Struthio camelus: one gene and its partners. The protein of the gene in region 3 purifies or fractionates together with the protein of the main gene of each other region. This does not show direct contact. Links are inferred from orthologs where the notes say so. Each region holds a gene or a part of one and is shown on either strand. Other genes may lie near its edges. The genes, in order: SH2D4A, PPP1CC, PPP1R7 and UBXN2A.

Region 1 (7,347 bases), on a different chromosome or scaffold from region 3:
GGGGAAACGAGCTAGGGGCCTGCACTTCCAGTCCGCTGCAGCCAATCCCACCAGCCAGAGCTGCACAGAACCTCTGCTCAGTCACAGCAAGGACATCCTCTCGGGCCCATTTTGGGCCATCCTCTTTCCAAGCCCCCTTCTGGCCAGGGAGCTGGGACCATCCTGAATCAAAGGTCACTAGAGCTTCTGGAGAACAGCAGTTCTGCTGCTCCCAAGCCAGACAGAACACAGAGCTCCTGAGAGGCCTGCCCAGCTGCCTGGCTTTTCTCCCTGGCAAACATAGTCAACACCCTCTGCTTAACAAACCACTCAGCATTTGGCCCACACTCACCACAAATTATACCTTCACAACTGAAGGGAATAACAGGGTTTCACCTCCCTGCTGGCAACAAGTCTCTTCTGTTAGAAACCCCTTCAGTTTTACACATCACAACTATTCATTTCTGTTGACCCAGGCAAGGCATCTCTGCCAGACCACCACATTTGTCCATGTGCAGAGCTACCAGCCTCTTTAGTTACTGTTTTTGAGCCACTGAAGACCCAGCCCTACTTGTTTCTCCAAACAGAAGACACCTCAGGCTCTTAACTGAAGACCTCTGCACACAGACCAGCAACTCAGAGTAGAAGCACAGCATTTCATCCATACGGCATGGTGAAACAGGCATCGCCGATACCCAGAACCCTGGGTATTCTGAATGCGCACTATGCCTCAAAGACGCGGCGAGCTCTTTTCAAATCTTTCTTTTTAGAAATCAAACAACTTTTCTTTCTGCTAGGATGTTTTTCAGACAAGCATCTCCAAACTTGTTTCCATAACATCCTCCTCTTAAAAAGAAACTGCAGGTCTCTCCACTTAGCAAAGTAGCTGCAGGTTTTGTCAGAAGGGCACACGGATTGTACCACTAGAACGTAGATCTGACTACTTCTCCCAAGGTTTCAATATTTTGAACCTTTCTGTACTTTGCACCTTACAGCAATTCAGCCTAGGCATCTTTAGAAAACTGCAGGCAAAAACCGTGTTCCCCCAAACGCACATCAAGCCCTTGCAGACAAACAGGCAGGGGAGTGCCAAGCCCATGCTGCACCTATTCAGTCACCCACTGGGTACCAACTCTTCACACACAGAAGTACACCCTCACACACAAACATTTGCGAGGGACAGTCTATCCCAATGGAAACACCTGCTGCTACTACCAACTCCATGCTTCTTTCCCACCTTGCAGCTTAGTTACAAATAGCTGTTCATTTCCTTTCTTCTTCTAATACCATGCTTTGATACTGTTTACGTGTATGATTTATACTGTTTATACTGCTTCTGCGTTGTTTATACTCTGCTTTATACTGGCTGCAAAAGAGCTCTTAGTCTGTGTGCGCTGCCTCACAGCTCAAGGCACTTTTGGGTTACAGAAATAAAAACACCACACAAGCTTTTCAGATTCATATTACTGTTCAAAAGGCCAATGCCTGCACTAGCTGTGTTGGGCTAAACACAAAGAGATTGTCACATCCCCTAAAACCAGAGCAACCCTCCCAAGAGCTATTCTGTTTGGAGGACAGGAATTGATCTGAAATAGCCACCACACCTTGTGTCCTCCAGACTGAACTGACTTCAGCTGATCCTAAGAAAAAACTCCAAAGCCTAAGGGACCCAGGCCTGACTGAAGGGTGCTTTTGTGATACCCTCATCTCTTTGCCAACAACAGCTTCTTTTCCAGGCAGCGCCTAAGAACAGAAGGCAGTGAAGGTTAAACAGCAAACTCCCAGCAAGCTCCCAATTTTGCAGTTTCACACAGCTCAGATGCCCCTAGGAAGAGGGGACTGCGCCCCAGCTCCCCCCCACAGCAAAAAGCTGCTCCTTCTCCACAGCCTGCCATCCCCCCCCCCCCCCCCCCCCCCCCCCCCCCCCCCCCCCGCTCAAGGACAGCCTGAGCCCTTTTCTTTGGCTGCTGAGCTGGGGCAATTCTCTTATCAGAGGATCACTCAAGAGCCTTGCCCAGCCACAACTACCTCCCACAAGGAGCTCCCCAAAGAGCCTTTTTTCAACCAATCAAGCCATTTTGTTTAAACAGCAACACGACTTTGGAACAACAGCTCCCTGTTTCTGAAATTAAATTAACCTTTCAAAGAGGGAAAATGTAAAGCAACTGGTCAGACACACAAAACAGAGACAAAAAGGCTCTTACCCTACCCTGCCTGGTTCAGGGCACCTCCCCAGGGAGTCCTACTTCTGGCTTTGTCTGAAAGTGGCTGTGCTCACACTCGGGACCCCTCTGTCCTCTCAGGCCCTGAGCAGCCCCTTGTCTCACCTCTACAGCTCCCCCAGCTGCTCCCAGCTCATTTCAGGCCCTCCCTGCCAAATCTGCGTCAGGACTCCAGCCTGCCATGCCCTGGGCGCTCCTCAACTCCTCTGTCTCCGGCATGCTTTGGCGGTGCCCCAGGAAGGCCTGAGTGCTCTACCTCTCGCAGCTTTAGGGCACGCTGCCTTCAGGCATGCCTGGTCTGGTGTGGGGGTGAAATGGGGAAGGCAGGCGGGGTGAGACAGCGTGAGAATAAGCCCAGGAGATGTTATCTTGCCTGGCTGACTGAGGAAGCTTTGCTGTCACACTGCCTCATTTTCCCTAATTAAATGGGCTGCATGCATGTGCTCCTTGGAAAGCTTCATTATTGCCCTCCTTGGCTGCTCTGCCCTACCCTTCTCTAGCCTGCTCTTCTACCTCTTTCCCAGACGAGGACTCCAGGCAAAAATCAGAGCAATCATGCGCTGAGGCTGAAGGTGCTCCCAACATTTTTTCCTGTCTTGACCTGCCATGGGGATCCCCAGGAGCCATTTCCTTTACAGTAACAAAGGGAACTCATTTGACTCCAGTAGTGAATGCATACTGCCACTTCTCCCTGGCATGGGCCAGTCCATCTTCTCCATGTACTTTATACTTCCACATTAATGTGCTGCTGACCACCTTCCTCCCATCTAGTGGGCTATGCCTCGAAGCTTCTTAAGCCTTTTATGCTTCTTGTTTCCCCAACTCCCAGGATTTGTGTAGAAGTACAGGAGTAATCCCGCTAGCCTTCATTTTCCATGCAACCTGCTAAACCTCTGCTCCCACTTATCGTTTCCTATTTTACCATCATCAAATTCTGCCCTCCCTGTTCGAGGGGTCACTGACCTCTACAGCTTCGGGCGAGTGTGGACAAACTGCTTGCCCCGCCATGTGCCTGCCCCTCTGGTGTAACAGTCTCCTCCCAGGGCCCTTGTGATGGCAGGAGGCTGCAATCTGCTTCCCTTTCGGGGCCAACCACACTGACCCTTCCTGCACCCACTCTCTCCACCGCAGGTTCCCACGATTTCTGACAATTGTAAACTCCTCTTCCTCAGGCACTGAGACTCAGCCTTTCTGCCCGCTGCTGCCAGTGGCAGCAGTAGCATTTCGGAGAGGGCGCCTAGCCTGCAGCTGCCCAACACCTCTTCCATAGACCATGGGTATCAGTGAACCTGCATTTCCTAAGAGCTTGTTCAGAAAGCGCCTGCAACCTCTCGCCTTCACTCTGGCTAGCAAGCCACCCTTGCAGCTCTTTCTGCAGCTGTACTTTACAACATAGCTGTCGTCACCTCCCCCCCAACCCCGCATTCTCCTCCCTCAGTAGCGCCAGGGTCGGACAACAGTGTCACTGAACGCGCTGCTGAACAACCTCCTTGTTTCCATGAGTTTATCCAGAGGAGATATGCAAAAGAGTTGGTTTCAAGGTCTTTAGTCCATTCCCCCCATCCCCCCAGCACTACCTATTTGGCAGCTCCTCTAGTTACAGGAGTGCTCCTAATTTTCCAGAGAAACCCCTGTTGCACAGGTCAATCTACTGGCACAAAGCACATCTGCTTGGGTGCCGGGTGCCCTACCTGTATGCACTAGCTGTGACCTGGCATCCTGGGCAGGAACAGGAGTGCTCCTTCTCCCCTGCCTCTTTGGCTTGTCACGTGTGGATGGCGCATGCCAGGTTTGCCATGTGGGGAAGGCACATCAGCAAGAAATGTCAGACCTGGAGCTGCCTCATTTCATCAGCTGCTGACAATCTTAATTATCTGGCTTTGAGCAATCCACCTTCCCTGGGCTTGCTGGGACACTACATTTGATGGACAGGAGTACCCCAAAATTCCCACCAGGCAACTCCTGACTCCCACCTCAAGAGCAGAGCCAAAAGCCCTCCCAATCTTTCCTTGGTTAAAGAGAGCGGCTGAACTTCTTAACATCATGCCGCCCTGTTTCACAGCGTTTCCTCTTCCGAAGAAGGAGGAGCCCTCTAGTCCTGAGTCCATTGATCCCCTGCCCAGCAGGAATGTTTGCTTGGGCACGGACAAGCCACACCTCTGATGACTGTAGCACGCAGCCCTCTTCCCTGTTTTGATACGGTATCAGCTCAGTTTATCAGGGCATAAATACAACCTGCCCACCGACTCCAGAACTCTTCCCTTCTGGCCAGCTGTCCCTGCAGAGCAGGCGGAGGCTGTGTCTGTCACCTGTTATTTCAAGGAATCTTAATAGCAGGTTTTAAGCTCGTATTTACTTTTTCAGTCTGTGCAGGAAGTCTGAGCTAAAAAAAAAAAAGTTACCCAGATAGAAGTATAATTACCCTGGCACACCTGCATTCCTGCTCCAGGCTCAGGCAGGGACGGACTCTTTCTTGTCAGTGCAGCCATACTGCAGCCAGGAAGAGGAGCTGATCCCTGGAGCTCATCGCCACAAACGTGTGCAACTGAAACCTCCAGCCATGCTGAAACAGATATTATCAGACATGTACATTGATCCTGAGCTGCTGGCAGAACTCAGTGAGGAGCAGAAGCAGATCCTCTTCTTCAAGATGAGGCAAGAGCAGATCAGACGGTGGAAGGAAAGAGAAGCTGCCGCAGACAAGGCTCCAGCCAAGAAACCACCATTGAGAAAAGGTAAGTTTTTGCCTGCCAGCTGCTTCCTCCTTGGACACAGATCTGACCAAGATCCCGAGATAGAGGAGGCAATGTGTCCCCAGAGTAATTTCTTCTCCCAGGACACATTACTCATATTCCCAAATTAGAACTAAAACCATCTCCTATGGGGGTTCTTCTGGCCTGGCATCCAGCTTGTTTCACTCCCTGGCCCAGGCCCAGACACACCGTCCTTCACCGAACCACTAAACTCCCCTTCCCAGGAAGACATGGCTTATTTGTCCCCTGGGTCACGAGATGCATCTCATCAGTGTCCCACTGAGCGGAGCCTCTGAATCTGTGTATAAAATAACCACGGACATGAATGCCTGTCCTGGAGTGCCAGCAACAAGCCTGCGTCATACGGGAGCTTGGCGAGTGCCACTGCCTGGGCTGAGGCACCAATCTGCTGGGGGTTGCCTGTTAGGCTTTTAGACCCGAAATCCCCTTGCCAGGATTACGCAGCATGCTGGCTCGCAGAGCCGAGGAGTCCTCTTCCCCCAGCCGTCTCCTACCTGCTCTGTTTGCCGGTTGTCCAGCCTCACACAGTCCCTGGACAAGGCATTTGAAGAGGGCAGTGGCAAGGAAGTAGAGGAAGAAAGGAAATGGCGGTATCTCCTCTCTTCCTTTGGGGCTCAGAAACATCTCCTTTATTGACAGAGAACGACTCTAGCTCCGGCACTGTGAAATGAAACGGGGGGGAGGGTCCATGCTGTGTCCCAAAGGAGCTTCTAACAGGGATGGACCCTGTCCACAGATACCTCCCTGCTTTTTCCCACAGAAGGCTGTTTTTGGGAAAGGCTCTGCCAGTGGCAGCAGCCAGGGCACAGCATGTAGGATACAGACCCTGCATGGGGCTGCTAAGCAAACAGCATTAGTGAAAAGGCTCCTTCTCTTCCAGCCAGCGCGAAGTCGGTGAAATGGAAGCTCGGTGCTGACAATGATGTCTGGGTCTGGGTGATGGGTGAGCATCCATCAGATAAGTCGTATGCTGCCATCTGTGAAGAGATCCAGGCACAAAGGGCAAAACGCTTAGCGAGCGAGCAAGGCAAGGAGGCCAGGTAAGTATCCCTCACCCAGAGGACACACAGAGGAAGAGACTTCTCTAGAGACCCAGGCCAGAGTCTCTGCCGTGGAGGCTCTCCTCTCTGCTCTGGGAATTTTCCTCCTCAGGCTGAAGCAGGTGGACAAGTCTAACACGCACATTGCGAGCAAGCCTGAGCCCTTTATAAAATCATGTTTTGCTTTCCTTTGATTTCTGCCTTGGGGCCAGGCAGCGCGTGGTTATCTCTGTCCCACTCTGCTTGCAGAGCGAAGGCACAGGGAAATGTCAGCTTTCTATGAGTATGGGCAATCCTGGCAGAGACTCAACCTCCAACCTAAGGGCCTGCCCTAGCTGTTCAAGTCTCCCATCATATCGCTGCTGTGCGGCAGCCTCTGAAGATCATAGGAGATGATATGCGTGTTACTGCAGTGGGTGATGTGTTTGGATTGCACTGATTCATCGACAGGTGTCTGTGAACAGCCGGACGACAGTTACTCACAATGAGTAACAACTTTTAACTATTCCCTCCCTGTGACCTGGAGATATGATAACTGTATGCCTGCACGGCAGCGCTCTGATCACATGTGATTTCCTCTCAGATGCTTAGGCAGCACAAAGTTACTCCCCTGGATTCCTAAGTCCTGTCTCTCTTGCATTTCAGAGAGACTGACTCTTCTGTAACATGCTCTCTGCATCCACAACCGGGAGTCCTGGGTGGGATGGATGTTCGCAGGAACAATAAAAGCAGTGTGGAAGAGCAGAAGGAAGATGGGAGAAAAACAACTGCCACTAGAACAGAGAAAAGCTGGGAGCTCAGAGAGGTACTTTTCCTCCTTCTCTCCTTCCTACTCAGAAGTCTTTGCTTTGAGAGGTAGCGAGTGCAGCAAACTGATTGCTAGTAAAGGAAAATCCAAAAAAAACCTAGCCACCTGACCGTTAAGGCTTCTTTCTTCTGCAGTCATTGAAGAAGTTGTGCTGTTACATCCTTCCTTAGGACTGGGGAGGTCTGTGGGTTATTCCCAGCTGGGTTTCTTTGCTTCCGTTCTCCATGGGTAAAATGGAGATTACAGTACTTTCTCTCCTGTTCTCTGGCTGGTTTGGGCTGCTTTTCAGGCAAGACCAGGGAGGCTCTCCTACCAGGATCAGCACATGCAAGGCCACAGCCCTCAGACAGATCATCTTCCCCTATAAAAGATCAGGAGAGGGCAATACTACCAACATCCTTTGAAATGCGTATTTCACGTTCTTTTTCTCTTCTAAAGAATTAGAAGATAGTTTATGACCTTGACAGGACAGGACAGCTCCAAATGCAGCTGACTAGGGTGCTTGCTTTGATGTTTCATTACAG
Region 2 (7,877 bases), on a different chromosome or scaffold from region 3:
AAGCTAGAACTGATCTTCATCTTATTTCTGCTTCCATGCTCACCTGACAGCCCTCCTGGTCCTCCACTCTCATTGGTTTTAATTAGAGAAAGAGTTCATCCATGTCATGAGCATGTTATGTCGGGGTAAAATCAGTGTAAGCGAAGAAGCCAGCTGTGTCCCAGCCCAGCCACTTGCCAGTCCCGGGCTGCTAACACGCTTTTCTGGCCAATGCAATGAAGAACATCCCTGAAGTGCTTTCTTCAAGCCACGTGAAGTCAAAGCTGCCCAGAATGTCCCCTTAACCTTTCCAAGGTGCGGTGGCCTCTCCCCCTCTTGCAGTGTCCACTCCACATGGTGGGAAAATTGAAACCCTCTGTAACGATGTCTGAGCAAGCAGACCGAGAGGAGAGACGCTCAGCGAACCCCTTCGCTCCCGGCTGCCTCTCTCCTCCGCAGCAAAGACAAAAAGGAGATTATGTTCGCCCTGCCATGGACCAGCTAAAGGAGGACTGAAAAGCCCTTCGCTGGACGCGTAGCGCTGGCTGCTGCGCACGTTGTTTTCGTTCCCCGTCCTTGAATGGCTCCGTGGCAATCAGCTGAGCCCCACGGAAACCCGCAAAAGCTTTCTAGCTAGTTATGAAACTCGGCCTTTGGCAGAGCACAGAGATTCCCGGCCCAAGAGGGGAAGACAGGGGCTCCGGTCCTTGCCAAAATAGCGTCAACTGATCCATTACGGCTGTTCACCGCTTAAAGCAGGACAAAGTCTTCTTTAGCCCCGTTTCCCCTCTCAGTCTTAGCGATGGACCGGCCCTCCGCCACGCTCGAGCAGGGATGCGCAGCTGCGGCATGACGCGCCAATCTGCTCTTCTCCAAACAGGTCTTGTGCCTGGTCTAGCCTCAAAAGCCAGATCCCTAGAACACACTCCTTGAGAGGCTGGAACGTGCTGGGTTTTTAATCCAAATAGCTATAGCAGGAAAATCCTACTGTGGTCACAGCTGTATCAGAAAAAAAGTGACTTAGGACATTTTTATATGAGAAGGGTTTTACTGGTAGTATTTTTGCCAGTGTGAACTTTCCAAGACTTACCAGCAGAACATTTTCCCATCCAAAAATACCTTTCATGAGAAAGCCTTGAAGTACATCAACTTTGACAAAAAAAAGGTAGGAGGGGAGGAACTGCAAATAACATTTCTACCATGTCTCAAGATTTTTCGAACAGAATCTTTTAACATGTTTTATCGAAAATGTGATTCTAACAAACTTGAGATAGGCTTGTCATTGTTGTTGGCAGTTTCCTTTGCTGGGAGATTTCAGAGGGAAACCAACTGCTGAGACTGTGAAATTTTCGGCTCCGTGGAAAATTCAAGGCCTGGCTTTTGGGGGAGGAGGGGTGGAGGGGAATACGGGCGCTATGCGATGGCAAACGGCTGCGCAGGCAAAGGCTGGGCGCTTTCCCCCAGAGCAGAGAGCGGACTTCTCCCACAGCCTCAGGGTCAAGGTGTTGCACAGGGAAAACAAGGCTTCCTAATTTTCTCATGCGTGGGCTGACGACTTCAGAAAAGCAAAAGTTTGGTAAGCAGGGAGAAGGGAGCGCGGGAGGCGCTCTGCCGTTGGCGTCCGGCCTCTGCACTGGGTACAAATCCCCCGTGAGCCCCAGGGCGAAGGCAGCGGCTCCGGAGCAGCGGAAAGCCTTGCTCTCTCGTTCGGGTCCCTCGCAAAGGACCTGCGCGCCCGCCTGCAGCTCGCACGTCTTGTTGCTCAAGGCAGATCAATGCACTGTATGTTTTGTAAATAAAACAGGACACTAAGAAAATACCTGATTCTGCGTCACCGACTCCTTTCCAAGCAGAACACAGACCCCTACATCTCCAAAGCAGCCTCATGGCACTGCCCAGCTGCTCTTCGTTTGCCTGAAAAATTGCCACCGTCTGCCCCCAGACTCTGGCAACATCCAAAATTTTGGGGTCAGTGAAATACTTTAGGCATCAGGAATAAGAGGCATCCATAAAAAGTTTATCTTGATCATAACAGCAGGCTATCTGGATGCAAACAGTACGAGCTATGAAAACATTTAAATCATATCTGAATATCTAGTCAGGAGAAACAACATTTGCCCCACATTTTTTATTCTTCCAGTGTTTGAACAGCCCTTGTAGATCTTTGTTTAAAATGTACACAAACACATTGAATTTCACGGACTTAGCAAATATGTAATCTAAAGCAAGGGGAAGCGTGGGTGACTCGCATTTCTTAGGATCCACCTACATACTGGAACAAAAAAAAAGGAGCGTTTCATGATTATCTATACATGTGTATATATATATATATATATATATAAGTATATAAAGATATTTATACATCCTATCCCCCAACAGCCCAGAATACGAGCAACCCTACAATAAGCAAAGTAGTATATGCATGACATGAGGAGGACAAATCAGGAGGGAAAGATATTTTATCCTGAGGCTTCCAAGGAATGTTACTCAAGCAGTGATTTATTTGTGGAATTTCAGGAGGGGAGGGAGGACGAGACACAAAGGTCTCACAGCTGCAAGCAAGATAAATCGTACATCATCGTGTATTTAGCAAACTATAATGCAAACTGTAGACAAATACAAGGAAGGGGGAAATATATGAACTCTAAGTTGAGAATTATCAAACGCTTCAAGTCTGCATGCAGCGTTTAAGGGCAAAGGGATATCCCTCATTGTTCCCCCTCTAGAAATAAATCATTGTTCTGAGCAACACTGGAGGAAAAAAATAGTTTCAGGATATTTAACACCTTGGCTGTGTCCCTTTTTTAATCAAGAGAAGCTGTTGTGGGGTGAGGCTTGTTATTTTCAGCAGAGAAAAATTAGCTTATTAAAAAATAACATTGTGGTGGCTTTTTAATAACTGTGGCTCGCATGGAGTTTACTGCTGTTAAGTAAGCGTTCTCATTTTTTGTGTTGATATAGCAAAAATGTAAATGCAAAAGACCTTGTGCAAAAATACAGTTTCCCCTCCGAACAGGAGACCAAGCGTTCCCAGCTGCTGCCGAGACCCAGGAGCAGAGCTGCAGCAAAGCAGGCCGGTTATCAAGGTGATATTGGGGTCTGAATATATTTCCCTCGCTCTGTCACTTCTCTCACTTCCCCTTTGCTATGCCTCTTCTAACGCAAATTGATGGTGCTCTGAACCTTGCCTGATTTGGTTCATCAAGTGAGATATAGTCTCCTCTGAAGGGCCTGATCCTTCCTTCCAGGAGTGTGATGTTCCCGATAAATTTCCATGCGCAGAGGATTAAATCTCCTGGGTCACATGCTGGAAGGTGCTGAGCTCCCCCCCCCAATTTCCCCGAGCATTAACAGGAGTGAAAGGGACTCAGCGTGCCGCAGAAGGTGCTCAGATCCGTGCAGGACTGGTCCTAGGGGAGGGCGTCAGGGGAGAGGGAGTAACAGCTGAAGGATGAGATAAGATGAAGACATTTCCAGCAAAGAAAACAAGGACAGGAAGGTTTCTCTGGAAACGCAGCACCAATTTCCCTCTTTGAACAATTCAGTTAAGTCCAAAGGAGTTTGCTAGAGAAAAACCTGCCCCACAGAATTAGCCGGGATTTGAAAGGAAAGCCTTTGGTGCGAAAGAGCCAGGGAGGGGAGGCTGCCCCTGGGAAGGCGCAGCCCAGGAATAGATGTAAATCTGCAAATGCTGTCACGTTGAAGTAAACCTGGAGTAACGCTATTGTCTGCAGCGGGGTTGCTTTGGGCTTACACCAGTGTGACCGAGATTAGCGTACGGGCTCGGGCGCGCTCATTACGATAAAGCGCTCGCTCGGGGAACTCGAATGTCGAAGCCGCGTTTGGCAACGGCCAGGCGCCCGCGTCGCAGACCGCCTGGCTCTGCGCCCTCTCCTTTCCTCCCTCACGCTGCCTCCAAGGTGTGCTGAGGCTGCAAGTCCTTTGCTTTATCACCCTCCCGAACCTGAACTCTGCTCTGGCCCCACCACGGTAATAAACTGTTATATGAGTATTATGTAACTGTCAGCATGAGGAATCTGGCATGCATAGCATGAGCAACGCACACGGGGAGGAGGAAAGTGGTTGACACAGCCATCCCTGCAAATTAAAGTAGGAGTAAATAAAGCAATTAAACAATATTCAATCAGAGATGCAGACTGAACGCTAGCAAAGGCCTGCACAGCCCCATCTCCCTTGCAAACGCGATCCAATTTACGAGCAGAACCTCGCTTAATTGCTCGCGGCCAAGCCTTTGCCATGCACGAATAAAATAATAATGGAAATGTGAAATAAAACAGCAAGGCGCTCTGGAAAAAAAAAAAAAACGCTCATTTCCCCGGCCGGCCCCCTAAGGATTTCAAAGCGCTGCACAGCGGTACTTAAAAGCAGTCGCCCGGGGAGAGCCGCACGCACCACGTTACTCGGAGGCCTAAGGGCGCGCGCCCGCCGCAGAGCCCCTCGCACGAGCGCCCAGAGCCGCTGCGGCGAGGCAGCTTGGCGTGACCGCGCGCCGGCCGGGCCTCGGCGCCCCGCTGCCGCGTTTCGGCGAGGGAAAACACCCGCGCTCGGTGTTATTTCGCCCCGTTTTGCGGGCCGGGCAGGTGAGGCCGAGGGGCCCGGCCTGCGCCTCGCCTCACGGGGGGCAGCTGGCCGCGGCGGGCCTCGGCCGTGGGGCAGGGCCGAAGGGAAAAACCCCTCGTGGGAGCCGCATCAACGGCTCCCTGCCAAGGGCCTAGCGCCCGCCAGGCGCAGCCCGGCCGCGGCGCCGCACACGCGAGGCCGCACACGCGCGGCGCCCGCTCGCGCCGGACTATTTCGCCTCTTCGCGGCGGCGGAAGGATCCCGCGCGTGCAGCACGCCGTGACGCGCCGCCCCGCCCTCCTCCGCGTGCTTCCCGCGCTGCCTATAAAGGGTTTCCGGTGAGCCGCGTCGCGCCTGTAGTATCCGTGCGCCGGCCGCGCTCGCTGAGGGGAAGGCGGCCATTTTGTTCAGTGCTGGGTCTCTGCTGAGAGCGGCGGCCGAGGGGGGGCGGGGGGGGGACGGAGCGAGAGAGGGAAGAAGGAGCGCGGGGAGGAGAAAAGGAAGGGAAAAGACGAGAGAGACCGAGGAGAGAAGTCAGGCCGGCCAAGCAGCGAGCGGAGGGAGGGGAGCCGCGGGGAGGGGTCCGCCCGGCCGCTGAGAGGCGATGGCGGATATAGACAAGCTGAACATCGACAGCATCATCCAACGGCTGCTGGAGGGTGAGGGTCCGGGCGCGGGGGGAGCCCGGGGAGGGGGCGGAGGCCGAGCCGGTGCCCCCGAGCCCACCGCCGGCTCCGCCGCGGGGCTGCCCCGGCCCCTGAGCGCCCGCTGGGGCCGGGGCACCAAAATGGAGGGGCGCCGAGGCGCTTTGTCTTGCCGGGGCTCGGCGCCGCCGCCGGCCCGGGCGCCCCTGCCCTCCGGCCCCAACTTCTCCCCTAGCCCTCATGTTTCCCGAGCCGTCCCTGCCCTCCCATCCCCTGGGTCCTCCCGGTGCAGGGCTGAGACCCGCCGGCTGGCCCCCTCCTCCAGCCCTGCAGCTCTACGGAGATGCTTAGCTGAGTAAGGTTTTCGTAGGGGAGTGTTTAAAAACCTGAATGCTTAAGCTTGCCTTCGCTACACGCGCACGGGGTCTGGGCTTCGCTAGGTAGTCGTGGGGCTCTGGAAATTAAGCCTTCCCATGTTTAAAGAGTCTGTCGAGGCAGCTTTTCAGAAAGTCGACAGGGGACTTACCTGGGTTCAGGGTATCATATTTTTAGCGCTGATTAACTGCTTGCATTAGTACTACCATTAGACTTTAGGTCTTAACGCGTAACATATGGTGGCTTTTAAAACGCGAATTACAGGTTGGCCTTTGCTCTGTTTTAGACGATATTTGGAAGGGCTTATTGTCCTGTATCGCTAGTGCTTTGGGTTGAAAAGAGTTGAATGGAGTTCAACATCTAAGGAAAATCTAGATGTTGCAGGAGGTGTCAGCAGCGTCTTCCCTTTGGTTGTAAGGGTCAGGATCAGGTTAGAATTGTCAGCTAATCTTTCCTAGGGCAAAAGGTTGAGAAGCAGCCGATGACAAATTTTCTTCCTAGCACCAAGAAAGATTATAATTATTTAGAGAAGGAAGCTAGACTGATCCAGCCTCATTTTAAGTGTGTCAGAGCAGGCATCTCATCTGGATTTTTGCTTGAAGAGCTTGGTCAGGCATTTAACTTTTTTGTTTGGCACAAAGTCATCCAAGATTTTGCTGAGACAAATAGTGAAGAAATGCCTTTGAGCGCTCTCCCAATTTTTTTCTTGTAAAATTTCACTAAATGTCATGACCCGAATAATAATAGGCAAGGCAAAGGGGCAATAGTGCTTCTATAAAATTGGTTGGGATTACAAATCCAGCGGGTGTATTTTGGGATTGTTCAGCTAGAATGAAGAAAAGTAAATAGTGTTTTTTCTCTGATCTGTTTTAGGTTTTGCTTGTTGCCAGTTTAAACTCTCCTGATTTAAGTTGTTTGGAGGCTTCTGTCTGTAATTTAAACCAGTGTTTTCCTGATGCTCTAATACACTTTGTAGGTATCAGGTCCTGTGTGTTACATGCTTGGTGACATATTAATAGATGCTTAATTTTATTGCAGATAGTATAATTTTTATTTGATTTGCTGTAATGCAACTCATGCAGTTTTCTCAAAGTGCAAGTTACTAATATCAAAGACTTGAAATAAGCCTAAAAAAGGTCTGAATAATTTGAATTATTTCCCTTGTTCTGGATTTCAACAAGTAATAAGATGTATTATATCAATATGTTAAATTCTTACCTGGCTTGTATAAGTATTGTACATTGAGAGATGAGAGCTTATAAATGAGGTTTCAGAAGCTTCACTGACAAGATCTTTGAGATGACTGTGTAACAAAAGATATTATTACCTAGGGTTGCGTCAGCTGTCAGAACTGAAATAATTTTTTTACTTTGACATTTTAGTTAGAATTTCTGATTTCTTGGGGCAACAAATGTCTTTTGGTATTTAAAACAATTATGAATGTTAATAACCCATGGCATATTTACACCTATATATTTGTCTTGTTTATTGCTTATTGAAAATATATTATATAAGGTATAATACAGCTTTCTTAGAGCAATGGTTGACCTTTGTGACAATTTCTTTTTTTTCCAGAGAGGGCAAAATGATAATGCGTTTGGGCTAGTGCTGCATTCTTGATAGACTGCTAAATTGTGTGAATTACTGTGCAAACGCCATTCTCTCTGTAGTTGTTTGAAATTTTCTTGACTCATCTGTTTCCTGAGGTTATTAAGATACAGCTAGGTAGATGACAAGATTGATCTAAAGGGCAGCTCTGCGTGGTATCAAAAAAACCAAAAATCTAAAGGGTGTGTGTAAGAGAATTTTTAATCCTTTTTAGATTTGGACTGAGCATGAGAAATTTAAGACATTTGTATGTAGTGTAGTGTTCTTTTTCAATATAGTTCTTTTTCAGTGCAGTTTTAGTAGAATTGCATCATGTTCAGTTATATAAAGTTTGGTATGTCTGTACCCAGGATTCTGCTCCCTTTTCGGGCTGGATTCTGCACTGATTAAAATGATAGCCAACCACATACTCACTACAAAAACTCTTTTAATAACTAGCTGACTCGCAAATTGAATTGCCCAAATCCTTGTTCAAGGTTTAATTTTTAAATCAATTTGATATTTTACCAGTTATACCTATCTTTAAACTGTATGCTTATGTATTTTTATAACAGTTATTTCAGGTGATTTTGCTTAAAAAAAAGTAAAGATATGAATATGTAATGTGGCAGTAATCCCTTCTTCCTTTTTAAAGGTAATAAAATCAATGTTATGGAGATACTTTATGAAATATTTCAAATCGGTAAGAAA
Region 3 (6,924 bases):
TGATGTACATCCATCAGCTTCTATGTACTCCTCACCTACAGCTTCCACAACATCTTGACTGGATTTTGATATCAAGTGGGACAGCTTTTGACCAATGAGTTCCTGACTACTGCATCCAAGCAGCTTGCAGGCTTTGTCATTGGCCACTAGAATCTACAAAAGCAGAAAGGAAAAAGAAAAAAAAAGGAAAAAAAAAACACAGAAGAGCTGTAAGTTTCTTTAAAGCAACAGCATGATGATCTGTTAATGTCTTATAATATCACTTCCTCTCTCAGTGGAAACGGAGAAGCCCTTTTTAATTCTGAAATCTTACTACTCAACTCACTAAAACTTCTTGTTCTAGGACAACCCTCACCCAAGCCTCTTCTTTGTTAAGAAGGTGTGAGACATGGCTTTCCTTTTAAGCTTCTGGCTTTATAACTGCCTATCCCCTCCAGCCTCTTGTGCTGTTTAAATAATTATATCCACAGAGGCAAAACCACAGAGCTGCACTTTCAAGGAAAATCTGGGCTGGCCACAGAATATTATCGAGCCCTGAAGATGTGCAAAAACCACAGCAATTGACAGCCTTAAGCCTATTTACAGACCAAGTCACAATTAAGTGTCTAGCCCCTCTCTCTTTATGATGGGGAGGTCTGAACTGTTAGTTCAAGCTAAAAAGGAAACAATGCTTTACAGTTTTCAGTACTCAGTTTCATACTAACGTTTACTCTCAGGACAAAAACAGAGAAATTCTCTCTCCCAGTGCAAAAGGCATATGTACTGGGGCAGACAGAGACCTCATGTCACCATGAGCCCATCCCAGTGAAGGTTCTTCCTTGTCATAAGGCTCGAAACATTTTCTGCTTTTCTGTTCTTCCCTCATGCCACATCACAACTGCTTTCTTCTTTATTCTCTTTTTCTGTTTGAAAAAAGACTCAAGACATCAGTGCTTCTGATATTGTCCTGTATACTTTACCGACTACAACCTACAATGGAAATACATGCATTGTCCGTCTTTGTAGAATCACTGAGCTTGAGCAGACTATCAAAAAGCTTCATAATTTGGACACTGCCTACAAACACAGGAATAACAAGCTTTTGAGCCTACATGATGTCACACAACCTATACTAGGTACGCATTGCTTTGTTTAGCGGTTCGTACTGCAACAGATACGGCAAGTACCTCTGTTGTGTTGACATCCACCGTGAAGACGGCTTTGTTCGGATTGCGTGCAGTAGTTACAAGGTGTTGGCTGGATTCCTCCACAGTAAGGGCATGCAAAAAGGAACAAGAAGCAGGACTACCAATGGAACTGGAGAGAGAGGCAGAATCCCACCGAGCCCAAGAGTTACCAATTTTGCTGGAACAAATGTTATGAGCCGCCAGCGAAGACAAACAATAAGAGCTCCATTTCTCTCCTGTGAGAAGATAAAGATCGGCTATGTAGCTCTAGCAGTCTACTACAGGAGTAGTTACAGGAATAAATAAAAAAACTGTTTGTCAGCTGAAATAGCTGTCAAGTAATTTCAACTCAAAACATACGCTTCCTAGAAATTACAAAATACCAAAATCAATTAAACTAAAGATAACAGAAACAATTCTAATAAACATGTCTTTGTAAGTCACAGGAACAATTAAACTCAGTTCACGGGCTAGAAAACATTGCCAACATGCATAAAATTCAACCAGACTAGTCAACTTTCCTTTCGCTTAAGATAACAGAGTTAAAGGATAGGTTTTGAATTCTCTCAAGTTAAAATTAAAACTGTTATTAAATATAATTACTGTAAGCGTTCAAGCCCTCTTTAAATACTGAGTTAGTCAGAAGCCAGTAAATTAACTACTCACAAGAGCTGACACTGAAATACCTATGCCCACACCAATGTTTTATGTTATGCAGTGCCAAGAGATTGTACTAAAATTTTCAGAAGTTCTGCCTGTAGAAAGCGTTTCTTCAGGTAGTGGCATCGGCAACAAACTCTGCGCCCAAAGGGGCAAATAGCTTTCAAAGGCAAGCTGTGCTGGAGGACGCGGTATGAACAAGTCGTTACAAGGACACCTCTGCATTTATGCACTGCATGCAGCATGGATATGCTGACCATGATAAAACAGAGACATCCATATCTGGACAGGCTTGAAACTGAAAAGTTCTCCTCCTCCTCAACAGGTTCTACTGTAATATCGTCTTCCTCCCTATTTGGCAATTTTTTCATTTTTTAGAACATAATATTTAGAACACCAAGTATCTTGCAAGCCCAGGACAGCCTGGTCCAGTGGCAGCCAATAAAGGTTGCCCAGGCAGGAGTACCAATACAAAGCAAGCATACTACGACACGTCCTCCCAGAACTCTCCCAGCCTGAATAAGAGCTTTTTAATAGCTGCTTATTGCTATCATCTCTAGCTTTTTTTTTTTTTTTTTGGGGGGGGAGGGAGAAAGAAGAGCTGAAAACATCTGAAAGAATAATCATCGTCTTCATTGACAACACGCAAACTCATTCACATGCGTTTCATGTGCTCACCGGAGAGAGAGGCTCTGCGCCGGCAGAGTTCAGAAAGCTGACTTCTCCTGCTCTTGCTGGCCCAGGGGTAGGATCTACTTAGCTTATCAGAATCGCTCAAGTGATGAAGGGCTAAGCCTGCTGACGAAGGCAAAAAGCCCTCTTCAGCGGAGCTATCTGCCTCGGCTGCCATAGTCAAAGCCTGGTTGCCATATCGCGCGCCTAGAAAACCTCCACCTGTAACAGAAGCGTAACAAATTCAGTCAGGCCCGCGGTCAGGCAATAGCGCTCACAGCATTGGCAGAACAGGCCTTCTAGTCCAAAGCACAGCCCTGCAAGCTGTGGCAAGACTGCCGCTAACTAGCTTTTGCCCGGCCAGGTGGGACTTGTGGTCTGTGCTGCCAGCATCACCTATGGCACAACAGGACTTCGCCAGCGCGCTTCCAGAAGAGCGACCGAAGCCCCCGGCCACCACTCGCTCCCCGTTTCTGCTCATTTTCAGAGCAGAAGCAGGTTATTCGTGCAGTAACTCTCGACGTTGATTCAGCCACCGCCGCACGGCCTCCCTCCCGCCCAGGGCGGGCGGTCCCCGCACCGGCCACCCTCCCCAGCCCGCCCGCGGCGGGCAGCCCGGGCCAGCCCAGCCCCCCGCAGTCCTCCCTCGGCCCCTGCACGGGGCAGCCCCGGCCCGGCCGAACCGGCCCGGCCCGGACGCGCCGCCCCTCAGAGAGTTACCACAGAGCCGCGGGCGCGAGCAAACAAGGGGCGGGACTCTCCGGCCGCGCTGCCCAATAAGCAAAGGCGGTGGGCGAGCGGCACGCGGGGTAACCAATCAGGCGCCGAGGCGCGGGGCGGCGGGCCGCTCGAACGGGCAAAGCCGTCCCCGGCGGCCGCGCGCTGCCGTTGCCAAGGAGGCCCCGGCCGGGCCGGGGCGGCAGCGGCGGGAGGCGCGTTGACAGAGCGCTGCGGAATGGGCAGCGCCCTCCGGACTCTCTGTCCCTCGCCGCAGCCCTCTTCGCGCCCCTGCGATGCCTGGATGCCTGCCCGCGGGCAGCCCCGAGCCGGGCCGCGCCGGGCTGCCCGCTCTCGCGGCCTGGGAGGAGGTGTGTGGGGGAGCCGAGGACGACCAGCCCTCTGCAAGGGCCAGGGTTCCCTAGCGGCACGAAAAAGCCGGAAACAGCTCGTAACGCCCGAGGGGCTGCTGGTGGGCTGGGAACCGCCCCCCGCCCCCGCAGTAATGCCAGGCGGCTTCCTCCTTTTCCTCACAGGGTACTACAACTCCCAGGAGGCAGCGGGGCTCGGGCTCGCACGCATGCGCGGGAGCTGACAGGCGGCCCGGGCCCCGCCCCTCCCCTTACGGCGCACCACCTGCAGTGGTGATTGGCTGTGGCCCTTCGCCGGCGGCGGGCTCTGATTGGCGGCGGCGGCCGTTGCGACGGTTTCCGGAAGGGGGCGGGGGCGGGGGCGGGGGCGGGGGCGGGGGAGGGGGGGGAGGAGAAGCAACATGGCGGCGGAGAGCGGAGAGGGACCGCAGGAGATGATGGAGGGTGAGAGCCCGCCGGGGGCCGGCACGGCCGCGGCCGCTGCGGGGCCGGGGCGGGCCGCGACTCAGCCGTTGCCGCTCGGCGGGGCGGCTGCCGGGCGCGGGCGGAGCGGCTGCCGGGTCCTCCGAGGTGTGGGAGACTCCGATGTTTGTCCCCCCGGGGGCGGCTGCCGGCCGGGGCCGGGGCGTCGGGGGCCTCTGGGCCGTGCTGCGCCGCCCAGGGTGGGGCTGCTATTTGGGGCACAGCGTGATGCCCCCCCCCCCCGCCCCGGGGGGCTGCAGGCGCGGGAGGTGGCAGAAGTGGGTGTGTGGAGGTGAGCGTGACCTAAAAAAAGAAAACCCGACGATAATACCAAGCGGCGCCCTGGCATGGCGTTGCTTCCCCTCGGCCACCCCGTGAGGGGAGTGTACGTGTTGAGGGGTGCCTGTGCGCTGCCCAGGACGAAGGACCTCGGCTCCCCGGGGCCAGGGCGGCCGCCGGAGTTGCGGCTGGGGAAACGATGGAGCGATCACGCTGGGGAGATGGTTACTTTATCTGCTGGGATTGGCTTTTTCTTTTTTTTTTTTTTTTTTTTGTGAAGCTTTTACTACTTCACGTCTTTGTTACTGTTTTACAAGATACTGATTTTTTTTTTTCCTAAAAGCTTTTACAATGTAATAATTATAATTCCATCTCCGTAATCTTTGGATCTGCACTCCTTTGATCTAAGAAATCTCCTTTTTCCTCCAGTCTTCTTCCCAGATTGTTGGTTTTAGGAAGATCTGAAGGGAGGAAAAAGTGCATCCAAAATCAAACTAGAAACAAGGGGTAAGAGGCCTTTTATTTAAGACTAAACCTTTAATTTAGTTAACTTAGGATTTCTACTAACTGCATAGTGGTGTATGTGAGTCCTGGTTATTATATTTGTTTGCTACTTCTCTGCCCCGCTCACGAAAGTAGCCTAAATCTGCTGTTATGTATTTTGTGCAGTTGATAAGCGGATTGAATCGGAGGAGTCGGGAGATGAAGAAGGGAAGAAGCAAGCAGCTTGCTTAGTAACAGACCTCAGTCAGCAGAGCCTGAAAGAGGAGCAGAATGGTGAGAACTGCACAGGTACCCAGCCAATCTAATTGATCACCCTAGGAGGGATCTTCTTACTTACAGCAGTATCTGTGCATCGATCCTTTCTCTTTTCCATGGCTATATGTGGTAATGTTATTAACCTCATGATTTTTTCTTAGAGCTCTTTTGAGAAAATTAGTGGTAAGGTAGTCATTGGTAGAACAGAGCTGCCTCTTTTTTATGGAACCATTGGCATTAGATTTTGGGGATTTTTTTTTTCCTATTATTATTTTTTATTTACCCGTGTGTGAAACCACGCTTCTCTTTGAAATCTTTAAGATCGAAGTATGAAACATCTTTACTAATACCTATCTTGTGGTAAAGTAGTAGCAACTTCCTATAGAAAGATGCTGCAAGTGTTCATTAGAAATGAATAGAAACAGCTCTTTATATCTCTGCTTTAGTGTTATGTAGTTTTTTTACTTTTAAATTGCTGGATTTGTTTGGAAGGCAAAGGAGACTATTTCTAGATAGATCGAAGGAAGCTTTCAATTCTTTTGTTTAGTTTTTTTAGACATTTACAAATTATAAGATGTATCAAAATACTTGTATCTGAATGTTTGAATCCTCTTGATTTGGAACTCCTGCTACTGTTTTTACTGTTTACACTAGTATAGCGCGGTAGAAATTCTGACAGGCTTTTTTTAAGCTTGTGTGTGTTTGATAGAAAGACTTATTTTTCAGTAACTTGCTTAAACTCTATCAGAGCAAATCCATCTCTGAAGACCCCAGCTGGCAACATTATGTGAACTTCTGGTGCTGGTTGGTGGGTGTTGGAGTAAAAAGAGTTAAATCTCTAATAGATCTAGAGCTAGAACGCCCTGATAATTTGAGATGTAATAGCGTCCTTCTGATGGACGCGTTCGAGTAACTATTGGCCTGGAAATAAAAGTGAAACAATATAGCAATTTTTTCCGCTGTGTTTTGATCCTTTTTGGCTGTTGCTCTTTTACAAATCCCTCTTAACCTTGTCCCTTAGAGTTTGCAAAAATAGTTTCTAAAGTAGTAAATTACTGTGAGAATTTGAACTCTCATTTCCTAATTAAATGATCTCTATTTCTAGGTATAATTCACTGTTAACATATAGTTTTCTGTGATTAATTGCGAAATGGTGTGATGTTGTCTATGAAAGTGAAGGAGCACATCTTGGGAATTGTAGAGCGCAAGCACTGTACGGCCAGCAAAACAAGCAGATCAGTCGTTCATTGTTTTCCTTTGCACGCATGTAGCATAATGAGCGTTCATTCAGCTAACGTAATTTAGCTGCATGTTCAAAGTTATATTTTGTATGTTGTTTCCTCTGGGAATTATAATATGAAAATATGCCATTTGAAGTCTTTCCTTTAATTACAGTTTAAAGCAGGAAGGTAATTCAGATTTGGTGGATGGATTATATTGGGACTATTTTATTTAATGACTGTATTGTCATTTCTTCTTCTTCTGAGCTGGTAGGATTCAGCAAACTTCAACTAGAACAGAGACCAAGCAGAGGAAATAACTTTGGAACGTTTGAGTTAGTTTCGGTAGGCAGCTGTTGAGTTGCCCAGGTGAAGGACAACGAACAGTTTTCCATGCTTTCCACAGAAGAACATAAATAGAGAGAACTCAAGCAGCTGAAACTTCACATTTTTCATTCAGCTAATTTTTCTGAAGAATAGCAGCTCTGTTTAGGAAGCTTATAGCTTAGATATTTATAACATTTTTCATGCATTTGCAGTTAAAAAGTGCAGTTAGACTCTTAATTAATACTTGTGGTACTGTGGAATTACGTAACTCTGTAACTACTGTTCTGTATT
Region 4 (7,166 bases), on a different chromosome or scaffold from region 3:
CATTTGTTATAAATTGACTTCCTTTGAAACTTAGTCCTTCCCAATGGCATTTATTTTCAGAAGCATTTAGACATATGTCCGTAAGACCAAACTATAGATCTTCAAATTGAATCTTACTGGAAATGAGCCCTACAAAATTTGTATGTAATATTTAGTGGCGTGTGGCTCCAATCATTTGCCCTTTCCTTTCTCTATTGCCTTGTCTTTCTCTGCTCAGGAGTTCTTTTAGTTTTTCTTTTTCCACAAGGCTGCGTATGGATTGCTGAAGAGGGTCAAAACGGGTTGTTAATTCTGTTCTCTTTCTTTATGACACTTGAAACAAGCCACAGATATAAAAAATGGCAACAAGTTAATTCTTGGATTAGGGAAATTACTCTAAATCTATTTCTACGGTACTTCGTCTTTTATTCTTAAACCACATGTAAATCTCTCAGTATGTGTGATATAAAATATTAATCCTATGTTAACATGTCCTTTTTATTTCAAAGAAAAAAAAACCCAAACAAAACTAACAAACCTTGTTATTTACAATTTATTCATTTCCATTGTCAGTACTAAAAACGATGATGGAGCTTACATAGACTATAAAGTGGAAAGCTATTCCAGTCAAAATAACTAGCTGTGCCTTGTAAGAATAACAAGACAACTACAAAACCTGAAAATAAAACCATCTGCCAAAAACAATCAAGGGAGTAAACATCCAAAATGAAGCATGTCTTTACACGTTTCCCTCTATGCTAACATAATGGGAATAAAGCATTAAAAATACTCAAAGCAGTGAGCAGGGATTTTTAACTACAGTAATCCCGCTACAAGAGTAGTCCCTCTGGCATCGTAAGGAATACTCACTTGAGTAGGGTTCACAGGAATGAGATCAGAACATTATAAAAAGGACACAAGTATTGTCAAAATATTTAGTAAATATAAAATAAATAGCTTTTAAGTTGTGGGTTTCCTGTTGCTTCAGGCAGATGTGGATAGGCACCCAAGAAAATCCATTTGCTTGCATAACGATGAAGTTTACTTTACTTATAAAAAGTCATCAGTGTTCATGAAAGGGGGAGTGCTGGTTTGAATCAGGCATGTTGCAAACAGATGTTATGCAAGCTTCCCCAAACAGTCCTGCCAATGCATTACAGTCCTGAGTTATGATATTCAATATAACTGCAATCCGGGCCCTTTTTGGGGCCACAGATTGATCTGCTGCTTTTCCAAAATGGGGTAAGATTTTTGTGATGCAGGCAAAAAGCCTGAAGATCAATTTATTATTTTTTGTTTTCACACGAACAGAATTTGGACTCAGTATCTGAATTACATTGCTTATCAGTGTTACAGGACAGAATTTAAAAAGTACCTTATCTGTCATCATGCTTGTGATTCTCAGCAAACTTCTCTCCAGGTTCATTTCCCTCAATGTACTTGGTAAGGGACAGCCTCCTACAGTCTCCTATTCCAGTTCTTCAAGGACAAAAGGAAAGCGGTTTCCAACTATCATTTTCAAAAACTGTAGGTTTTTAACGAAACTGTTCCTTTAGCTACAAGTCTGTGAAATGGTGGCACCCTTTCATAACCATTAAGCATAAACAAATAAATGAATAAATAAAGGATACAAAACATAACAAAACTAATCTCACTGAGCAGAACAACTAAGACTTTTGAAAGACCCTGTAGATTCTTAAACAGGATATGAAGCAATGTTGCTAATGCGAATTAACAGCCCTGAATAAAGAATGTGAAATGAGAAAAAGATCCTACTTTCCATGCCCAAAACACAATGTATTTTGGACTATCTCATAAAAATGAAAGTTTATCTCTGTACACAGTAAGAAAATATTTGCTTGGAAATCTGAATAGGCCATTTTCTTATTAAATATCCTAATGGCATAGTTGCATATTTTATATATCGTACTTTTCCAGACTTTATTCTCGAAAAGGAAGATGTGGAAGTATGCAGGAAAAGCAGAAGAACAGTTTTTCCATTTATTGTTCTTTAGCATTGTTCTTTCAAGTGCTATCTTTAAAGAATAAAAACACTTTGATAAACTGTTTGAGCCTAAGAGCTTGAGCCTTGTGATCACTAATTTTATTATCCTATTCCTTTTTGTTAGAGAAACACAAAACACTGAAATAACTTGCCTAGCAATGGCAAGGAAGTGTGAAAAATAGAATTAAAGGTGGAGGCTTTGTTGCTCAGACCTCTATATTCGTATTACTAAGCTACGTTCCTTTTACGAAGCTTTGGGTTTGGGGGCTTACGTATACTGTAATAGCTGTAAGTTTAATGAAAGGCATCAAGTTGTGGTGAGAGAGAAGTGATTCTCACTGCTCCCAATGCACATCAGTGAAAATAGATTGCCTTATTGTTTATAAATAATCTGAAAATCTCTTAAGCATCCAGTGCTCTGTAATAGGTACTGTTTTTCTTCTCCCTAAAATGAGATTATTAAATAAAGGAAGGAGACAAATAAGAGGAAAATAAGCTGAGTACTGAGCGATAAACATCAAATGCAAGCTAAGGCTACTGGGCAAAAGATAGAGGGTGTTATCTGCGACTTGTACAGCAGGCAAAGCACAGCAACATTTCTGATAGTCTGGCTATCAGGAAGTTTCTTGAAGAAAGAAACTCACCAGTCTGTGAAACAGTTTTTCACAAAAGATGGTGGAAATCCTACGCTTGGGGTGTATTTATCTGCATAAGGTGTCACGTCACTGACTTTAAAGACCCTTCCTGGGTGAGAGGGGCCGGCAAGCTCGTGTGCCCCAGGGCCCGGCGGTAGGTTTGGGCAGTAGGTAGTGCCACCTCTCAGCCCTCCTCCCTGACCTTGAGCCAGCCGCTTCCTCCCTGTCCCTCCCTCTCACCTAAGCGGACAGTAATCCTCCGGCTTCGCGCCCCGAGCGGCAACGCCGAGGCGCGGCGGCTCCTCAGCCCCGGCGGGCGGCCCCCGCAGCACCCAGGCCGGCCTGCCCAGGGCCTCAGGGCCTGACAGGCCGTGGGCGAGTCACGTCGCGGGCCCCGCTGCGCCCCGGGCCTCGCTCCTCAGCCGCGTCGCCGCGGCGCGGGCGGTGCGCGCTTCCCTCAGCCTGACAGGACTGCGCCCCTCCCCCCCTCCCCTAGGACAGCGGCCTCCCCGCCCTGCAGCCGGCAGCTGCCGTCCCCCTGGCCGGGAAGGGCGGCAGGCAAGGCGCCCCCCGCTCCCTCTCCCGTGGGGACGGCGGGCTGAACAGAGCCGGTCGCCCCGGCCGTCCCCGCTCGGCTCCGCTCCCAGGGGACGCGGCCGCCTGCAGCCGGCCGCCGCCGCCGCCTCCCCCACCCCGGCGCGCGCCAGGCCCATAGAGCGCGCCGGCGCCTTGCTAGAGCGTCCGCAGCGGGGGCCGCCAAGGCCTGCGCGCGGCGGCGGCGGCGCCGCAGCGCCCCCCGGCGGCAGCGGGCGGCCTCGCCGCGCACCGGGCAGAGAAAGGGAGAAGGGACAGTAATGGCGGCCAGTTAGAGTGTGACCGAGCCGAGGAGGCGGCAGCGGCGGCAGGAGGAGCCCGCGCGGCTCTGTCTGCGGCTCTGCCCGGCGGAGCGGCTTCCCCGCAAGGAGCTTTGCGCCTTCCTCCCCCTCCCCCTTCCCCCTCTCCCTCCCCGTCCCCTCCCCACCCGAGCCCCCGCCTGCCCGCCCTCCCTCCTCCCTCCGCGCCGGCGGCGGCAGCGGCGGCGGCGCCCCCCCCCCCGGTGTCCCCCCTCCCGGGGCCATGGTGAACACCAGGAAGAGCTCCTTGCGCCCCCTGGGCAAAGCGGCGGCCGCTGCGGCCGGAGCCGGCAGCCATTTCATCTCGTCCCGCACCCGCTCTTCCAAAAGGGGCACCAAGGCAGATGCGGCCGGGCTGGAAGAGGCGGCGGCAGCGCGGGTAAGGGCCGGGGGGGGGGCGGCGGCGAGGGCCTTGGTCGGGGAGTCGCTGGGGACAGCGCCACTGCTGCCGGGGAGGGGGGGCGGATATAGGAGCCGGGGGGGGTGCCGAGACGGCTGTCGGGCTGCGGGAGGGAGGGGGAAGAGGAGGGACGGCGGAGCCGGCGGGGAGCCCCGGGGCGGGGGGGGGGGGGTGACGGGAGGACGGCGGAGCCGGCGGGGAGCCCCGGGGCGGGGGGGGGGGGGTGACGGGAGGACGGCGGAGCCGGCGGGGAGCCCCGGGGCGGGGGGGGGTGACGGGAGGACGGCGGAGCCGGCGGGGAGCCCCGGGGTCAGAGGAGGTGAAGAGGGGCTGTGGAGCCGGCGGGGAGCCGGGTTTGGGGAGGTTGAGGAGGGCCGCGGAGCCGGCGGGGAGGCCGGGGTCAGAGGAGGTGAAGGGGGCCGCGGAGCCGGCGGGGAGCCCCGGGGTGAGAGGGGGTGAAGAGGGGCTGTAAAGCCGGTGGGGAGCCCGGTTTGGGGAGGTTGAGGAGGGCCGCGGAGCCGGCGGGGAGCCCGGGGTGAGAGGGGGTGAAGAGAGCCGCGGAGCCGGAGGTGAAGACGTTGTAAAGGCCGTAGGGAGCCCGAGGTCGGGGGAGGCGAGGGGGGAGCCCGGAGCCGGCAGGGAGCCCCGGGCGAGGGGGGAGCCCGGAGCCGGCAGGGAGCCTCTCCCCCCGGGAGCGGGGGCAGAGGGCGAGGCTGTGGCGGGTCGCCGCGTCCCAACTCGGTGCGGCGCTCGGCGGGAGAGGCCGCTGCGCGCCGGGGCGGCGAGAGGCGCCGGCCGGTGACAGGGGCTGGGGGCGGCCGCGCGCGGGCCCGTGGGGAGCGGGCGGCGGCGGCGGCGGCCGCCGGGGAGACGCGGGACGAAGTTGGGGCCGGAGCCCGGGCGGCGGAGCCGGGGGAGCCGGCGGCGGCGCGGAGCTGAGCGGAGCTCCCCCTGCGGCCGCGCCCGGCACTGCCCCCGCTGCGAGACAAAAGTTGGGAGCTGCGCCTGCAGCAACTTCGCAATCCTCTTCCCCTCCTCTGTTTCTTCCCTCTTCTCCCCCCCCCGCACCTTCCTTCCCTAAATGACCTCGATTCCTCTGAAGGGACTGTTCGCAGCAGCTTCGGCGACAAAAAGCTGCCGGTTGAGCAAGTTCCCCCCCCCCCCCCCCCCCCCCCGTCTGTGATTCACCTCCCTCAAAGAGCGGGGAGGATGTTGTTTTGCCCTCGCTGGATATGCTTAATTGAATGTTTTCCCGACATAACTTATTATAATAGCTTTGATTGTGTGGTCTAATGGCAAATGAATTCCGCAGCCTAATTTGGAAAGCTGGTGTCTGGTAAATGGTAACTGGAAGAGAGAATTCAGGAGCCTCTTTTCCCTCCTTGGAGTCTCTAAGTAGGTTTACTGACAGCTATGTCTTTCTCAGTGGACGTTTTATTTATACAGAGGGCTGTTTTTCTTGCTAGAACTGCATGTATTGATTCGAAGACTTAAACTAGCAGTTATAGTTTTCTGGTCTGAATACATATTTTAAAAGCAGAGTACTAGGAAAGACTTAGGAGCTATGGAAGTGAAAACTGAGGGTCAGACTGGTTGACAGTCATGCACCAGGTGACCGAGTCTTGTCCCCTACTAAGGAGGAAGTTAACCAGGCAAGCAGAAAAACAGCAATAGCAGCCAGAAGAAAGACGGCTGGAATTGTCAGAAAACCTTTTGCCCTGTCCTTTTTGTTTTCAAATACTAAAAAAAATTACTGACTAGATACTTGTTCTGTACTTTCTGTGCTCCTCTTTCAGTTCTCTAATGCACCACAGTTTCTCCTTTTTTTCCATACCATCTTACCTCAGCATCCCTTATTCTTGCCTTGCTTGATTTTACTAGACTCATGGGGATGCCGCACCATAGCTGTAAAAAGCTGTCCTCCTTATTCCATTGTGCAGTTTCTATTTTTTCATACCATGGGTCTTGTTGTGGTTTGTGAGGCAAAGTTTGGCATAACCCTTACTGGCTTACTGCGTGGGGAGTTTACTGCTGCTAAAAGATAATAAGTTGGAGTTCTTTCCAAATATTTTTCATCTCTAAATAATATTTTTGTATTACAAAGTTATCGTAGAGGTTATGGTATTGTCATGGTGTAAGGAAAGGAGATTGTGAAAAATACTATCCTAAAATCTATAAATATATCCAAGCATAATTCTCCAAAAGCGTTTTTTTTTCTAAAGACAAGTGTGTATTTTGGCATGATGGAATGGACTTGTTTCACTACACATCACTTGTGTTTCAGGCAGGTATTTTTTTTGTTTGTTTGTTTTCTAATTTTTTTAGACGTAATTGCCAAAGATGAATAGGAGTTCTCAGAGAGGTTTTTCTTTTCTTTTTTTTTTTCGTTCTTGTTTCTTTTGAGTATATATTGTAATATGTATTTCCCACCATATTTTAAAGTTATCTTTGGATGACTGTTTTTGTCCTTCAGGTGGTAAGAATTTGTAAGTTGTTTGGAGGTATGGGACAGCAGGGTGATGTAGTGTCTTTTTGAGCTCCTGAATCTCCAGGAAGTAGTGCCAAAGAAGGATTTCGGTGATTAGAGGTGAATAAGTATAGCAGTGAGAAGACAAAACCTTTGCTTTTGGAAGTGACCCGTCAGGAGGCGGATACTTAACTTGTGTTTGTGTAGAAGGTGTATCGGGAGTGTTCTCATGTAGTTGTATGTATTTTTCAAAGTTGAATAGAACAGGGTGTCCTTTTAAAATCTGCCAGTTGTAATGGCAGAGCACCAGCCTTACTACCAGCCGCTTATCTGGTTAACGGTCTGCGAGAGTTTGGAGATCTGGCAGACGCTTTATGCTTTTTATTTGCACTGCATGACTTAATTTTCTTCCACGGGGGTTCTGACTTGGCCCTACAGAGAAATGCTTGTTAGTGGCAGTGCTTGTTATTACCTTTCAGAATGTATTTTAAAAGATCATCTGTTTGTTCCTTATTAGCAACTAACACTGAGTTAGTAATCTAATGGCATCCTGTGCAATGTTGATTGGGCCAGATAGTACAGATGAAGGGTTAGAAGCTGCCTTCCATCTCTTTTTTTATCCATTTCCATTTCACTTTTCCCCTCCTCCCTTGGCTTTTCCTGATACTTCTTGTTTCTTTGCACACATTTACAAGGATAGGCTTGAATCCCTCCACTTCCAAGCACAGGATAAAAGAATTTAAAACCCTAAGTTTCTGATCTTCAGGTTTAATATTATGTTGAGTTG

The links.
Region 1: the proteins of PPP1R7 (region 3) and SH2D4A purify together in Homo sapiens (affinity purification with mass spectrometry; 3 studies listed by BioGRID and IntAct, counting the BioPlex papers as one, with this or other methods). This does not show direct contact. The link is inferred for Struthio camelus from reciprocal best matches to the Homo sapiens genes PPP1R7 and SH2D4A.
Region 2: the proteins of PPP1R7 (region 3) and PPP1CC purify together in Homo sapiens (affinity purification with mass spectrometry; 8 studies listed by BioGRID and IntAct, counting the BioPlex papers as one, with this or other methods). This does not show direct contact. The link is inferred for Struthio camelus from reciprocal best matches to the Homo sapiens genes PPP1R7 and PPP1CC.
Region 4: the proteins of PPP1R7 (region 3) and UBXN2A purify together in Homo sapiens (affinity purification with mass spectrometry; 3 studies listed by BioGRID and IntAct, counting the BioPlex papers as one, with this or other methods). This does not show direct contact. The link is inferred for Struthio camelus from reciprocal best matches to the Homo sapiens genes PPP1R7 and UBXN2A.

What each region holds. Positions count from the first base shown.
Region 1 is NC_090945.1:5,625,333-5,632,679, reverse strand, and holds the start of SH2D4A (SH2 domain-containing protein 4A), read left to right. Parts: upstream 1-4,344; 5' UTR 4,345-4,761; coding exon 4,762-4,936; intron 4,937-5,855; coding exon 5,856-6,015; intron 6,016-6,660; coding exon 6,661-6,820; intron 6,821-7,347. UniProt on the Homo sapiens protein: Inhibits estrogen-induced cell proliferation by competing with PLCG for binding to ESR1, blocking the effect of estrogen on PLCG and repressing estrogen-induced proliferation. May play a role in T-cell development and function.
Region 2 is NC_090958.1:18,080,758-18,088,634, reverse strand, and holds the start of PPP1CC (serine/threonine-protein phosphatase PP1-gamma catalytic subunit), read left to right. Parts: upstream 1-4,877; 5' UTR 4,878-5,164; coding exon 5,165-5,219; intron 5,220-7,877. UniProt on the Homo sapiens protein: Protein phosphatase that associates with over 200 regulatory proteins to form highly specific holoenzymes which dephosphorylate hundreds of biological targets.
Region 3 is NC_090950.1:3,846,225-3,853,148, reverse strand, and holds the start of PPP1R7 (protein phosphatase 1 regulatory subunit 7), read left to right. Parts: upstream 1-3,923; 5' UTR 3,924-3,987; coding exon 3,988-4,030; intron 4,031-4,756; exon of another isoform or gene 4,757-4,834; intron 4,835-4,996; coding exon 4,997-5,119; intron 5,120-6,924. Other genes in the region: PASK (PAS domain-containing serine/threonine-protein kinase), read right to left, coding at 1-153, 1,167-1,402, 2,505-2,720, 2,895-2,979. UniProt on the Homo sapiens protein: Regulatory subunit of protein phosphatase 1.
Region 4 is NC_090944.1:15,830,739-15,837,904, forward strand, and holds the start of UBXN2A (UBX domain-containing protein 2A), read right to left. Parts: upstream 3,001-7,166; 5' UTR 2,860-3,000; intron 2,825-2,859; exon of another isoform or gene 1,355-2,824; intron 1-1,354. Other genes in the region: ATAD2B (ATPase family AAA domain-containing protein 2B), read left to right, coding at 3,736-3,891. UniProt on the Homo sapiens protein: Acts to repress the ubiquitination and subsequent endoplasmic reticulum-associated degradation of CHRNA3 by the STUB1-VCP-UBXN2A complex in cortical neurons.